Linked DNA regions of Caenorhabditis elegans. The protein of the gene in region 2 interacts with the protein of the main gene of each other region in a pairwise test. Each region holds a gene or a part of one and is shown on either strand. Other genes may lie near its edges.

Evidence for each region. Proteins that work in one complex are often made in the same cells at the same time.
Region 1: the proteins of ddo-3 (region 2) and ifbp-1 interact in a two-hybrid assay, tested with the Caenorhabditis elegans proteins (one large-scale study listed by BioGRID).
Region 3: the proteins of ddo-3 (region 2) and rrc-1 interact in a two-hybrid assay, tested with the Caenorhabditis elegans proteins (one large-scale study listed by BioGRID).

Annotation. Positions count from the first base shown.
Region 1 is NC_003283.11:13,369,043-13,374,865, forward strand, and holds ifbp-1 (Interferon regulatory factor 2-binding protein 1 & 2 zinc finger domain-containing protein), read right to left. Parts: upstream 3,979-5,823; 5' UTR 3,857-3,978; coding exon 3,525-3,856; intron 3,187-3,524; coding exon 2,949-3,186; intron 2,900-2,948; coding exon 2,683-2,899; intron 2,328-2,682; coding exon 1,906-2,327; intron 1,811-1,905; coding exon 1,730-1,810; intron 1,595-1,729; coding exon 1,511-1,594; 3' UTR 1,053-1,510; downstream 1-1,052. Other genes in the region: srx-125 (7TM GPCR serpentine receptor class x (Srx) domain-containing protein), read left to right, coding at 1-21, 635-765, 819-948.
Region 2 is NC_003281.10:6,586,217-6,590,562, reverse strand, and holds ddo-3 (D-aspartate oxidase 3), read right to left. Parts: upstream 2,700-4,346; 5' UTR 2,667-2,699; coding exon 2,624-2,666; intron 2,580-2,623; coding exon 2,479-2,579; intron 2,434-2,478; coding exon 1,823-2,433; intron 1,775-1,822; coding exon 1,654-1,774; intron 1,611-1,653; coding exon 1,509-1,610; intron 1,464-1,508; coding exon 1,290-1,463; 3' UTR 1,165-1,289; downstream 1-1,164. Other genes in the region: F20H11.1 (Differentially expressed in FDCP 8 homolog), read left to right, coding at 504-734, 785-957, 1,005-1,083; acr-21 (AcetylCholine Receptor), read right to left, coding at 4,014-4,118, 4,271-4,346. UniProt on the Caenorhabditis elegans protein: Selectively catalyzes the oxidative deamination of acidic amino acids. Plays a role in the egg-laying events and maturation processes of the reproductive organs.
Region 3 is NC_003284.9:9,827,737-9,832,993, forward strand, and holds the start of rrc-1 (GTPase-activating protein rrc-1), read right to left. Parts: upstream 3,553-5,257; 5' UTR 3,475-3,552; coding exon 3,404-3,474; intron 2,568-3,403; exon of another isoform or gene 2,419-2,567; coding exon of another isoform or gene 2,399-2,418; intron 2,016-2,398; exon of another isoform or gene 1,931-2,015; intron 1,500-1,930; coding exon 1,350-1,499; intron 1,115-1,349; coding exon 985-1,114; intron 936-984; coding exon 852-935; intron 53-851; coding exon 1-52. UniProt on the Caenorhabditis elegans protein: Functions as a GTPase-activating protein (GAP) for ced-10/rac-1 and CDC42.

The DNA.
Region 1 (5,823 bases), on a different chromosome or scaffold from region 2:
AGGATTAGTATGTATATACAGGTTTTGTTTTTAAATTATTGTATAGATATTAAAAAATTTGAATAGAACAAGAAAAAGTGTTTGTGAAAAGGGGGTGAGAGGTAACCATTTGGCGAAACGTCGAAAATTAAATTTTTTTAAAAGTTTTACGATCACTTGTAGGGCGGTTTTCAACAATTTCCCGGACGATACATAGCGTTTTATAGCACTTTTAAAAACATTTTAGTAATTCAATAATTTTTGAATCAAATTTACATATCGTGCTAGGTCCAGAATCGCGATGCGCCCATGATTCCCACGAGAGTGTCCATCGCGAATTTACTGTGTAAGGTGGTTTTTTTTATACAACCTCTTCAATTGTTTCAAGAATTGAGTGATTTGACCGCAATAGTCGAAATCGGCTTAGTACAAACATTATTTTGAAACTTTGAATTCATAGAAGTAGTTCAAAATTTCGTCACACTTCTCTGCTTTGCTTGTTTCATGACACGATTTTCTGCAAATTGATGAAATTTGTGAACTCTTGACCGTTGTTATCTTTATCAACTTTTGTTTATTCTCGAGAACAAATACATAAACAATTTTCATCTTCACATGAATACTTTTACCGGAATCTCCTTTTTCCATATTTCAGAGTGTGCTGCAAGACACACTTCACTTGATCGACATGATCAATTGCACAATACTCTTCAAACTCAATTCAGCAATTTGGTATCAGTTCATTTTTCTGTCCGTCAGTTTTCTATCGATTCATGCGCTGGACGGGTGAGTGGACGTTGGTCGAACGTGTTGATAAGAGTTTCCGGAAACATTTACAGAAGCGTCATGCTATATTTCCATACTGAGATACATCCGCAATGGTGTCGCAGATTGTTGAAGCCCAAATCGAGGACTGGAACTATTTTTGTGAACAGATCTAAAATATCTTCCTTCCATCCTTCTGATTAATTCTAATCATTCGAAGTTTTGTAGAATTTATACCGAGTTTTCACATTGAATTCTTGGAATTCGTGAGAGAATATGTGAAAATTTGCAATTTCTCAAACTATATCTTAAGTTTTCTGATCAAAGCTTTATTCAATTAATGAAAAAATAAACTGAAAGCTTTGGTGGGATTGTTGTTTTTTGATTTGTTTGGCAGTTGAATTTTCAATGTTCCAGGGGAGAATGGACTGGGGATAAGGTACGAACATTACAAAGTTTTTGGACTGAAAAAAGAAAAGAAACCGTAAATCCCAAAAGCAGTGAAAAGCGTAATCGAGGAAAAGGGAAATGAGAAAGGAAAAAAATCTCAAGATTTATTACCAAATGTCCCTTGAAATCACACCGTAGTTGGGACCGAAGAGAGAGAGAGAGAAAGAAAACTTGGAAAGGGGGAAAAAGTAGAGATCGTGGTGAAGCAGACAAAAGCATTGAGTGCAGCTTTGAACGGTTTCAGTGGGACTGAGAAAAAAGAGAGATTGAAAGAAAAAATATTTGTGCCTAATGTGCTCCGTGACGTCACAGGTTATCAGTTTTGTGGTGACGTGGCGGCAGATGTGGAAGAAGCCGCAGAAGTTGTTGTGGAGGCTGGAGATGTTTGATTGGCGCCGTTCTGAAAATTAATTCATTCAGAAAATGAAAAAAATCAGTTTAAATAATAGATGTTAGGGGCATGCAACATATTTATTTGAATCCGATAATCAATTTTTTGCATGCTAGTCAATGTCATATGTTAGTAATCACTTACACATGAGGTAGAAGTGTTAATTGTGGATCGTGTAAGAGTGCGATGAGGGTGGGCTCTTTGAGCATTTTGTCTCCGTCTCAACTGAAAACCATGCAAAATGCGGGTGATTTAGTTCCAAACATAAATAACAAAATTGGACAAACAAATTAGTTTCACACAATCTGATAAGGGCATACCTGTGCAGCTGCCGCGGCTGCCGCGGCGAGAGTCGCTGCGTTGGCACCCATCGGTGGAGCAAGACCGTGAGCTTCTCGGGTTCTCTTGAACTCGTCATACTCGTCACCGAGGATTTGTGCAATTTCTCCTTGCATGAATGCCCATGGCATTGCTGATCCGACTAATGGACATTTATCGCCTGATGGGCAGTACATATCACTGCTCTTGCATTGATCCTTGATGCTGCTCCGCGAGCATGGGAAGCAAAACTTGTGAATGCTGACTGTTGGGCATTGTACAAAGTGGGTGTCTTCTAGACGTTCATTGCACAGTGTACATCTCAAAACTCTCTCAATTGGGGCGATCCCTCTCCGATCCTTAACTCCCGGATGGTCTGGTGAATGAGTTGAGGTTGGCGAGGCAGTTGTCGTTTGGGCATCGCCTGAAAAATAGAAGATGATGATGATGAGGGGGTGATGACCCTGGGTGCCAGGCGCCGACAACGACGCCACAACCAACTACACTACCATCCTCTAAAACCGGTTCCGTTTTCAAAGTGTTGACCCCATATCTAGCCCTTTATTTCTCTCGAGGTCACTCATTCAACTCGCTACTCTTTTCTTCTAATTCTTCTAAATTCGGCTGGTTTTCTGTCGGGTCTATCGGTATTACGCAATTCGAGAGGGTGACAGAGAGACGATACACGGGCTAATCGGAGAGAGAGAAGGGGGCACTACTACTTTACGCAACAACCGGTTTTTTGGGACGATGTCAATTTTAAATTCTAACTGACATACCTCTCTGCACTTTTCCATATATTTCAGGCTTCTGCTCTTCGTCAGATTCACGTTTTCTTGGATTTGAATAAGTTGTGCTTGGAAGCATGCTCATCATGAATGGAGCCAAGAGATGAGAATTTGGGCCCAAGCTTCGAAGAGACTGTTGAATAAGATCGTCAACCGCCCGAGGATTGGCTTGTGTCATTTGCAGAAGTCGTTGATGGGTCAGAACTTGCTGAAAATAAATTTGTAAACTATTGCAGTTTTCAATTTTATATGTTTACCTCCAAGTTGTTCATAGTTGGCACATGGAATGGGGACGTGGGAAGTACCGTTGGCTGAGGTGTCCTTTGTGGGCTTATCCTTCCGATTCCATTAGCAGAAGTGACTGGTAATGTTTGAAGGGGTTGTTGTTGTGTAAGTGTAATATCTCGGAGGGATGTCTTTGCATTCTGTGGATCACTGATTCCAACTCCTTGGAGTTTCTTTTGTTGGCGTGTTTCTTCAAGTACGAGTTCAATTCTGAAACAGAAAAAGATATTTGGTGACAAAAAACAAAAAAAGTTCAATTGGTCTTGAAACCTTTTTAAAACTATAAGATCGTGAAGTCCTGCAATTTATAAAAAATTTCGGCAGAAAAATCGTCAAAAAAATATGTTCTTTTTCTAATTTTTTTCAAAAAAAAAATTCTTTAAAAACTTTAGGAAATCTATTACAGAACAAACTTTTAGCTTGCAGTCTTATAAGAAAAAGGGTGTCAAATTTTCATGTCCTGTATCAATATAAGAAAACTTGTGACTTTCACTTTGGAAAATTTTAAAATCGAAAGGAATTTTCATCATCATTATTTCCAAACAAACCTGTCTGATCCTTCATAATTGACGCATCCTCTGCAAACTGGCTCAATATAATCATTTATGATTGCCCACGGCCAGCGTGGCAAATCACACAGGTAACATTGTTGTCTTGGTAATTTCTCATTTGAATTATTATTCGCCTTCATTCCAGCAGTTGTTGCAGTTAGAAGTGAAGCAGAACCGTTGACAGAGGCCAATGAGACGGCGTTCGGAGCCGCGAGCATCTGGAGTGATAGAGAATAATCGACAGTATTATTGTTGTTAATTATAGAAGGTGTTGGAGAAAGAGACATCGATGCCTGCAGAAGAGCAGCCGACTCAGCGAACGAGCCCATTTCCACGAGAGGAATGATTGCAAGAATGATGGGGTAGAGGAATAGGAATGGCGCGTTTCAAGTTCGTGATGGAAGAGAGGGAGAAATTCTAGAGATAAGAAAGATTCCTGACCGAGACGAATAGGGTCGAGAGGTGAAAAAACTAGGCATGGTTTTTTAGTGATAAAAGAAGAAAAGCCGGCAGCTGATAACAGAACGCTGATGCTCTGGTTGCACACAAACAGGGTTGTTCCATGACTTGGTAAACTATTAGGGTAATCGAATATTTTTTTGTATTATTTCAAATAAACAATGGAAAATATCAAAACCATGAGCATGCGTGGGTCCGAACTATTACAGCGATGTGTAACACTTTTTTTGGATGACGAAGAACTCTATGAATAATCGACGAATAGAAGGAGACAGTAAGGGGCGAAGCACTGAGTGACGCATTGAGCACATTGTATTACTATAGTTGTGTACAAAGAATTGGCAAAGAAAAGCTGCAGGAGAAAAAATAAAAAGAAAAAGAGGTGGGTTCCGAGTCTTCGACCTCTCCTCATTCATATTCCACAAGACGTATGGATAGTGCATATCATTAGCATCGGATCTGCATCTTAATAAAGGAATTGGAATGGAAGAAGGCAACTCAAAATTGGCTCCGAAAATGCAAAAATGAGGAGACTCCCTCTGTTTTTGAGACCTTCAAATGTTTTGTTGGGGGAATAACTATTATCAAAAGTGATCAAAATTTCTGACTTATCACAGTTGCACAAAACATCAATTTGCTCAATTTTCAGATCAACATGTTCCTGTTTCTAGATTTTAGATGTTTTGTTATTTGTTATCAGTTCTAGATTTTCCTAGACGCTATAATGGCTAATTGTCAACAAGGCTTGAAAGGTCACTAAACCCCTCCTTATTGGAGAAAAACCCTTCCCAACAACTGATAAGCGGTACGAAGACCAAAGTAGAGGTGTGTGATTTCATTTTGAAAAGATAGAAACACAAGTGAAAGTCGAATTGGCGAGTCATGAGAATAAGTGAGAGAAACCTTCCGATAAGGCCATCCATAGATGTGCTAGGCCGACCAATATTTATTTGGAGCATAGTTCATTGATACTGAAAGCTCAAGAAAAACTATATGAAAGAAATATGGAGATTAGATCTCTCTCTGTGACATGGTGCACCACGTTGCACAATGGGGAAGAAAACGTGGATGTTTGGATGAAAGGAAAATGAAGAGAAATGGGAAGAAATGCAAATTTCATGTTGGCACAATAGATATGCAAAATAAATGGGGGGAAGAAGAATTCTCGATAAGTGCCTTTAACTGAAAAAAAAGATGATTCAGAAAGAATTATCATATTGTTTTAGAAAATTATGGATCTAAAAATGTAGAATAAACAATGTGTAATTGCACTACTGATATTTTGAACAAAAAACCTAAACCAAGATAATTTTGTAAACAACTTTGTTTCAACTCGGGGCTTTGAGCAGAGCATTTGCACATTTACTTTTTTTCAAGCTTGAGAAGGTGCTGTTAAACTATTCATGATTTTAAGCTGATAGGACTTTTCATCAGTATCCAAACAAAAAGAGCCGATCTTCCCACATTCGTATTTATAACTTTTAGCAGGAGTTTAAAATTCAAAAACGGGGTGCAAAGCGAAGTGACGGTCAGAAAACAAGAACAATAAAGAGGGTAGAGAAAGAAAAAAACACAAAAAATAGAAAAAAAAGAGATTGAAATGGTGACCTAGTATTCAGTATCCCAAGGAGAAGGACTACTACAGAAACTGATTGAAGGTCTTTTCTCTCTCTCTCTCTCCCTCTCTCTCTCTCCCTCTCTCTCTCCCTCCCTCTCTCCCTCAGAAAAGAACGGGCGAGGAAAAATGGGATGAAAGACGCAGACGCGCAGAGGTCAACCCTGTCGGGAGCGGAAGGATGATCGCCGCTCGCGGAAGGAAAAACGAGGATTGACCTTG
Region 2 (4,346 bases):
TATGGGGAATTGAACCCCAACCCTCTCCCACAGGTGATTCGCAGTGTAAGCAAAATGCTTCGACGCACACAATGCTCGTGTTTGCGAAAATGTCTTGAGGTGGCTTAATCATGTCTTCGGGTAGTGGGGGTGGCTTATACAAGAACTGAAGTTATATTTTGAACTTTTTCAGCTGATATAAGTGAAAAAAAAGAAGCATAAATTGTTTTCGCAATGCCTCCTTTATGCTCGCGTTCGTTCGCAAAGACGAGCATTTTTCTCCATTTTTGCTCATGTTTTCAAGTACCCATTCGAAGCACGCGCGAACCTCGGATGAAGCATAAAACTCGTACTCGCGAATCACCTGTGTCCCATGCTAAGGGAGCGCTCTACCACTGAGCTATACCCCCGAACGGCGCCATGACGCGAAGTTGCAGTTAAAACATTGGCTGTGCCAAGTGACAGATATTTGCCCACAGCAAATAAAATTGAAGAAATATACATTTTCAACTGACAGTTTTCAGGAACTACGCCGAGTAAACGAACTGCGTCGAAACTTTCTTCTGATGAAGTGTTACTTTGTTAGTTGCCGTACGGCAAGACGTCTCCGAATCCTACAGTACCTCAATGCTCACTCACATTTTGTCGATAACTCTGTCATGTATTCACCGAAAGAACTCCGTGAGCTGTGCGATGGCACGTTGTTACCCGATTTGGAACAGATCCATACAGTTTTTAGAAAGCATATTGAAGAGGTGTTTGGTTTTTGGAGATTATTATTGAAATTTTAATTTTAAAAATTAAGGAATGTGAGACTTGTGCTGGAAATGGATTCTTCTGCGAACTTTGCGACGACATCAACGTAGATCAGAAAAATAAAATCCTATATCCATTTACTGAAAATACACGGTCATGTGCCACGTGTCTTGCAGTCTACCATAAGAAATGCTTCGAAAGGAAAAGTTTAAATTGTCCAAGGTACAGTAATCCACAGTAGACCAGTTTTGAATTTGGTATATTTGCAGATGTGAACGACGTCGAAAACGAACTGAGATCCCGAAAACATTGAGTTCAAGTGATGAGAAGGAAGCAGTGAGAAATTAATTTCAAAAAATTCCATTTAAAAACCACATTCCCCTACTATTGTAATAATTGAGTGCCTTAAATATTGTCTAATACTGTAAAATAAAATAAAATATTTTTATTGTTAACTTGAACATTTGTGTTTGGACTTTTTTCCTAAAGATAAACAGACAACATTCAAAATTAGAATAAATTGTTTATGACTTTCAATTACAAGTGCCATTACCCTAATCATCAAGATATTTAACCCATTCGGAAATCGTTGCATTAATGGGAAGAGGTTCTGGGACAAGTCCGTGATAAGCATCCAGTGGCAAATCGAGAACGATATGGGCGGCATGAACTGCACTACCGTATCCAAGTGTGAATCCGTTTCCACTATGACCGTAGTTATGGACGACCTGGAAGGAATATCAGAATTTTAGATGCATCAAAATCTTCATTACCGTAAACTTCTTGGATCCGTTGGTCTCTCGAATCTGCTTCTCGACACGAACTTGCTTGCGACCTGGACGATATCCAACGAATGATGAAAGCATGTGAACACGCTGGAATTATTTTCTAGCTTCTAATTTGTAATATTTAACCCACCTTGAAAGATGGTTGCAATGCCACATAACGGCTAGTGATATCCTGGATATCTGCAGATGTCACATTGTTTGGCCCAAATGCTCCTTCTTGTTTCACAGTTCCCATGTAGACATGGTCGATACTGAAAGATCTTAAAAATTTGAAAAACAATAAGAAAAGCAAAGCTTACACCGGAATTGTAATTGTAGAAAAGTCTCTGTAGAGGAAATGTTTCTGCCATGGTGCATCAACTCGGATGAGCACTCCACGAATTGGCTTCATGTTCCCTGCATCATCACCTGCTAGAACTCCACCAAGAAGTCCAGCTGAATTAACAACAACATCAAATTCTGCACCAAGTTCCTCTAAGTTTCCAATTCTCCGTTGAGTGAATCGAACTCCTTTTGTCATTAATTCTTTTTTCAAAAATGGGCAAAAGCGAAGACCTTCAGACGTGTAAGCAGTGTAATGAATTCCACGAGTTGTCGTGTTTCTTGGTAGATCAAAAAGCGACGTTGGACCGAAAAGCTCCGGCTCGGCGAGATCCCGGTAGTTGTACACGAGGCTTCCATACGATTCACGTTGTGAATCCAACTTTGTCTTGGAATCTGATAATATGTGCCCAGAGACTAGTTGTACACCACTTAGACCACCGTATTCTCTCCAGAGAGTTGCCAACTTTTCAAATGTATCGTAACCATATTTTCTATCGATCTCTGATCCACTATCGATTCGGAAGAGACCAGCGATGTGGCGACTGAGAATTTTTTCAAAAGGTTTGTGATGGAAAATGTGGATTTCCTGAAACACAACTTTGAACACCTGTGACTTTCAAATTTAACTTACTGGAGCGGGAATGTTCCTCTTTTCTGCCAAATCAAGAATTGCTGTAGCTGTGCTCAAACCAATGACGCCTTCTCCAACAACAGCAACTCGTAACGAGCTCACTGAAAATAAAAGGATAACTGAAAAAGTCTGAACATTATCAAACCTGTTGAAACTCCTCCAAAGAGGAGAAGAAGAGCATACAGCATACCACCTGCGATTAAATATGTATGTATAAAGATAAAAATGATCAAATTGTATTGAAAAAAAGAAAGAGGAGGAGCTGTGGAAATCCGTGGGATAGGAATGCACTTAGATTTCAGTTTTAAATCAAAAAGTAACGGAATCTGATCATGAGGAGCACAAAAAGCACATTTTTACGAAAATTTGATCTTTTGAAATCTGTTGGCTAAACTTTCAAGTTCTGTAGGGGAAAGCAAAATGTTCAGTGAATCTAGGGAAACGTATGAAAAAGTGTTCCCTTTTCGTTTCTTTGTCATCACCATTTAATCGAATTAGAGTAGATGGACTTTGGGAGTGTCAAAATCGGAATTTATTGAAAAAACATGAAACACATGAGGTCATGAGGTTGCCTTTTAGAAGGAAAAGATTAAGATAATTTCATAAGCACAAAATAAAGACAAAGCGAACTCTGAGTATTCAAGTTTTTAACGGCTAACTCAAAAAATCACGGAAAAATTTTTTTTTAAATTTTCGATTTTTTCAAATCTTAATACTACGCAGATGACCAAAGTAGATGAACTTCATATGCTTTCATATGCTCACTGCCTACTATAACTCACATATATAAAATTTACAAAAAATCGTAAAATGGCAACATACGTCAATAATTATTTGCCGACCTAATATAAGATGCTTCAATAAATGCAACACATATGTAGAGCCGTTTAATTATGTAGGCACTGCAAAATGTATTATTTTTATGCTAGAGAGCATATCAAATAAAATCACGACTTTTGGTTTCATTACCTCTTTCTGGTGTTCGGAACTTCATAATTGGTATGACCTCGGCAAAATGCCTCAACTATTGAGGGGGGGGGGGGGCTACTTTAGTGACTTTTGCTATGTGCTATGCCAATCAATTTAAGTTGGATAAATTAGGTAAATCATTGCTAGTTGGTGGGAAGTTGGTGAATTGCCGAGACGTTTCGGAGATCTGCCACAAACTAAATAAGGCGTTAGCTGCTGCTTGATTTCGCAGGAACTCTTGTGAACTTCTTTCATGACATGATTCTTCATTACTTCCTTTTCAATATACACTGTCAATTTCAATTTTGGTAAAAATTATTTCTTAAAAAATTCAATTCTAAATGAATGCATACGATCAAATTAATATTTCAAATTTTCTAGAAAGATCATCATTTTAAAATTGAAAATGGAAATGATTATCATTTCCAACTGCAAAATTTGAATCACTAGGTTTTCCTTCTTTTTTCGGAACGATTTTTCAAATTGCTCAGTAGCACCAGCTAAAACTACTTTCAGTTGGATATTGTTTGGGAGATATACAAATGAATTTATTGATTAACCCGTCATTATGTAGATTCAAAAAGATTTCGCTGATTCAATATTACAAATGTCGACATTGATGTGCCTATGAGAAACACCACAAGCAGGAAGCGATCGAGCACCATTGCAACCTAAAAATTATATTTTATAAATCATATATAGTTGACAAATGCAAGAATCGGAAAGTTTGAGTATCTTTTTTTAATACGAAAATCTAAACTGTTATGTATTTATTTTGAAGCTTTTCCAATCGTAAAACACGCCTCAACTATAAAAAATGTACCTGTTGCCATTCGAGAGCAATTGCATCTCGTTTATCCTTTTCAGCAACTCTCATTTCATTTCTTTCAATAATTCCG
Region 3 (5,257 bases), on a different chromosome or scaffold from region 2:
CGTTGATCGAAGTTTCTTCAGCTGGTTCAAAATGTCCGCCACGAGAGTCAATCTGTGTTTTCAGAGATTATGCGCGTAAGAGAAATAATGAAAGGATTGTCGAAATTTAGTACAACTATAATTCCTATTAAATAAAATAGCTATATCAATCGAAATAACTCAGAAAGTTTAGTGAATTAGAAAGAATTGGAGTAGTTCATTCTGGAATGTTTGTCTATGTAATAAAAAGCGTGTAAATACTTATTTATAAAAACGATTATTCCGCAGGTTTGAAAAATAACGCATGAACGTTTTCAATTTCAACTGAAAACGTTTTGGGCTACATTTAGAAGATCGTAATTTTTTGTTAAGTGATAGTTTGAGAGAACAGTTTCAGAACTGACTGAAACAAATGCAAAAAGAATGAAAAAAAAACTTGTTTGACGAAGTCCTGATACTAATGCATAATGTAGGTGTGCATTACATTGTACATATGTTTTGCAATAAAAACAAACACAGAAATGAAATATGCACTGCAGTTAAGAGCGAGTGGTGTCAAAATCATAAGAAGAACAAGATATTTTTTCAAGGTTGTACTAGAACTCACCAATTTTGTGAGAAAGGTTCAAATAATTGAATAACTCTTTGAAATACAGACTTACTATTCTGTCAGAAAGGAAAACAAATTTTCCTATCTGAAATGTTTGCAATACTTGAAATGAAATATTTATCGTCTTGGGTTCATTTGGTTTATTCGAATCTTTTTTAATTTAACTTTTCTAATTTGAAGAGATACTGTAAAAAGTCTAAACCATAGCCAGTTTTAAATTTAAATTAAATTGAAGTTTGGAGTTAAAAACAATTTCGCTTACTTCTAAAAATTTCAGAACAGGATAGCACGTTATAATGCTGCCAGTGAGTTCCGATAATCGCTCCGTATACTTGACAAGAACTTCCTGTAAACATCAAATGTGATGACTAGTGATTTTGAAAAGAAGCCGTCACCTCGAACTTTGCCGTTTCCAGATGAATAAGAGGAAACAGCTCGTCAAGTCGTGAATGCCTTCGTTCGAACACACAACGATGCAGCTGTCTGTCGAAGACTGCCCAATCCTCCCGAGAACGTTCGACAAGCCTGAATGAATCAATGATGGAAAACCTTTCAAGTTTCCGTTTTTCTTTCTTTTTTCTTTTTTGTTCTTCCTCGTACTAACTTTATTCAGCCTTTATTCTCATCTCCCATGAGACTTCACTCGTGGCTTTTTTGTTTGATTTCTGTGTGGCAGAACATTGAAAGAAAAACCGAGAGAAACACCACGGAGCACGAATTTTTGAAGACAAATTGGAAACAGAAGGAATGACCAACTCACCATGAATTTGATTCACTTTCCACACGCATTTTTATCCGCTCTGTTGCATTCTCGTCAGCGTTTATTGCGATGATGGCAACACGGACGGGACCCAATTCAACAGACGAATAATGGAAGTGTTGACAGTCGACTAGTCGTTGAATGCGAAGACTGAAACACAATAAATTGTTGATATTCAACGAAATAAACAGTGAAGTAGTATATGAATTATTTCCAGCTAGCAAAATTTGCTTCTTTCAAAAATTTTTCAACTCACAAAGTTGATACTAAAACATTAATATTCCAATTAAAATGTTTGTGGTGAAGAAATGTAAAGATATTTTCTTGAAAGAACGCCGCAACATATCTACCAACCTTATCAGCTTTAGGAATGCATTTAGTGAAAAACTGGCTAAAGTTGGGTAAAATAAATTAAAGTTGGGGATGCGCTGAAAACTTTGCACTGAAAATGTTTCTATAGTGGCCTAAACTTGGTTAAAAAGGGCTGAAGTAGTTACAATTATTTAATGTACAGTTCGAATTATTTTTCTTTTAATGGTTATTCTTTGGTAAAACTTGATTTAATAGTAAAAAAAGGATATTGCCCCGGGCGGGATTCGAACCCGCGACTGGTTTAACCCAATGAGATCATAAGTCTCACGCCTTCGACCGCTCGGCCACCGGGGCACTGATTCTGAAAAATGTGCATCTCGTTGAAAACTGCTTGAATTGCTAAAATTGGTGGATAATTTGATGCGAATTGCCGAACGCCTGCCATTCTTGTTGTAACGGTAAAAAAAATAAATTTTTGATATCAATATTTTTCAAAAACTCACAGTACTCGATGTTGCACTGTAACCAATAGTAAATTTTTTATGTACAACAATACACTTCATTATTTTTCCAATTTTATTGCACTGTTTTATCTGGGCAACCGATAAACACAAAAACCACCTTTTTCTAAATTCACCTAACTAAATTTTTTGCAAATAAATGGATATAATGAGGGAGACCGTAAGTGAATTTTTTGATTTATAAACATTCTACTACAAATTCAACATATTTTGTACCCTGGTATTTCTGGATCCATCTTTGCAAGTAGTCAGTGAATAGATAAAGTCCAAAATAAAGTCATTCAATCAATTACATGAAATATTGAGATGGAATAGATAGGAGCCGAGAGGTCTCTCCTCAAGGTTCTGTTGGTGAGTGTGTAATCCCACGCTCACTACATCGTACGCTAGCTGCACTCGCCGGTCGTGGCGGTAGACAAGCGGATAAGCGATGAAACATTCAATTTTGATTGGGATGAAAGGGGAGAAAGAGATGGACCAGAGAGTGATTGCAGAAAAATCAAATTGCAAAATGTGGGCCACTGGTTAGATTTATGGAAGGACATTTATCAAAAGGTTGTTGGAAGCAATTCAATGTTTCGAAACGTTTTTAGTAAAACTGGAGAATTTTAGACCTTTCACATAGTTATTTTTCAAGAACAAAAATACAAGACAGGTCTGTATTGCAACTCTTAGAATTGCTTCAAGACGTCTTGGTAAAAATATTTATTTTAAGCAGATTGTAGAATCAGTTGTAGCACGAAGAAAAAACAAACCAAACTGTTACTCTTCTTTTAACAATTTCTTATGCATATGATGTGAATTGTTGTTTTTACAGTAAAATTGAAGTTGTCTACATAAAATTAAATTTATGTTTCAAATATACTTTGAAAAAAAGTTCCACAACAGAAGGGAAATTACGTTACACGATGGCCCACAATTATAGGCCACCCTGCATCATTAACACGGTGCTTAAAAAATTATTATACTTTTTTTGAAAGCTTTTGAAACAAGTTGGATGAATCTAAATGTCGGGTTTCGCCCGTTTTTCTCTTAATTCTTTTCCGATTAGCTCAAATGGTTAATTCCAGACCTCAAATCTTTATTCAAAATATCTTTTGCGCAAGCAAAGATAAGTATTTTGAAAACGAAATGTTAAATTTGAGTGCATTAGGATTCTGGCAAACCTAAATCATTAAATTTTTTAAAGTTTGAAAATCTAAAAAATTTCGAAAAATCTACCTTCTTCCGTTTCTGCGTGCAAATGGGCTTTTGGGAGATAAAGGTGCAAATGATTCCTCGATGCCTTCCATTTTTTACATCACTTTAAATGAATACGTTGCTTTTCAAATGTTTTTACCAGTTTTTGTTGTCCTCGTTATCCTTCCTGAAAATGGCAACCGGAAGTCATGAGAATAAAAGGTAAACGTGTGGTGTTTGAGGAAAAATACATGTTATAAACACACGCTTTGCTTATAGATCGGTTCGATTATTTACATGCAAACATCATGTCAATTTGTGTTGGCAAATGAGAAGTGACGGCTTTTAGTTAGGAAAGCGGGACGAAAAGGGGGCAATCAGGAAAATCAGTTAAATTGTCGTGTGACTGAAGGAGTAAATATGGGTTCTGTTTGGAAGTTGTCAAAAATTGAGCAATGACATAGGAAGGCAGGCGTTGTTAGGAGCCAACAACCAAGAATCTTCAGACATGTGTTAAAAAATCATGTGGCCAGAAACATCTTGTTCGAGAGTTTTAGGATAAAACTGAAGATTATGATTAAGATTTTAGATATATATGTACCTCGTTTCGTGATATTTGAAGATAAACGTTGTGAGGAAGTGAGTTTCTGATGTTGTAACTTTTAAGTGGAAACTCTATTTTTGAAATTAAAAAAAGAAGGTTTTGAAGCCATACACTCAAATTTAATATGGTTCCAGAGCAAAATTTATCTGGATTATTAGAAATTTATCATAAAATTTAAAAAGGGTCGTATAATTCTACACAAAAAACCAAAACTAAAAATAAAATAAAGCAATTTATATTTTATATTATATTCTTTATGCTTCTAAACTTTTGATTAAATATACACAAATTTCACATAATTTTCTCGGAAAATGTGTTGTTTTTTAGAACACATACAATTAACGTTTATCACTCGACTGGGTAGAACAAAAAACGCAAAAAGAAAAAAAGCTCAGGTTGGTTCCAAAAATTCATCAACACTTGTGACACCTAGCAAAAAAGATAACCAAGCTCTTCAGGGGCAGCAGCCAACACGGATCCGTGCCGGGTTTCCGGTTTTCTAACGCAGTGGACAGCTGCTGTTGTTAAGGAGGAGAGAAAGTACAAGCCATTTGAAACCAAATTCTAGGCACAACAGGTGTCAGGATTTTCATGGATGGTTAAGGATGAGAAAGAACTGGTTGAACGATTGATGCTAATCAGTATGATTTTGAGTCAAAAATGATAAAACGAAGGGTTATTAGTGTGTTATATTTCCGGACGCTTCATCTTCTTCATCTTCAAAGTTTCGGTCTAAAGATAAAGAAGATAGCAACGGGTCCCGAGTTTCTCTCTTCGTCTCATCAACCAATCTCCGTCGTCTTGTCTCTACGTATCACAATTCTGGCGAAGCACACACACACACATACGTTCTTCTTTTTCTACCCCTATGCTCTTTAGCTGCTGCTCTTCTGTGGAGCACTCGATACAAATCTACCACCTGACACTATCACCGCATTGGGTGAGACGGGCTTGCTGGTTCAAATGTTCTTGCAGACAAAAATGACCGTCATATGCTCTAGCTTCTTTTTTTTCAACTACTCTTTGGTAATTTAAGAAATATGGATACCTAAAGTTGATCTGACAATTAAAATGTATTTGTGCAAAAGGGAAAACAAATTGTTAGTAATATTATGAGCTGTAACTTGTAAATAACCTTACTAGAACATATTATATAGTGCCAGAACAATTGTAGAAAGAATTACCGTGTTTCCTGAATCAATCTTGCTTGTAAGACAAATTTTGGATTGACCCGTAGAGGTGAAAGACTAATAAAGACTGCAACACTATTAGAGGCTGCAAAACTAATAGAA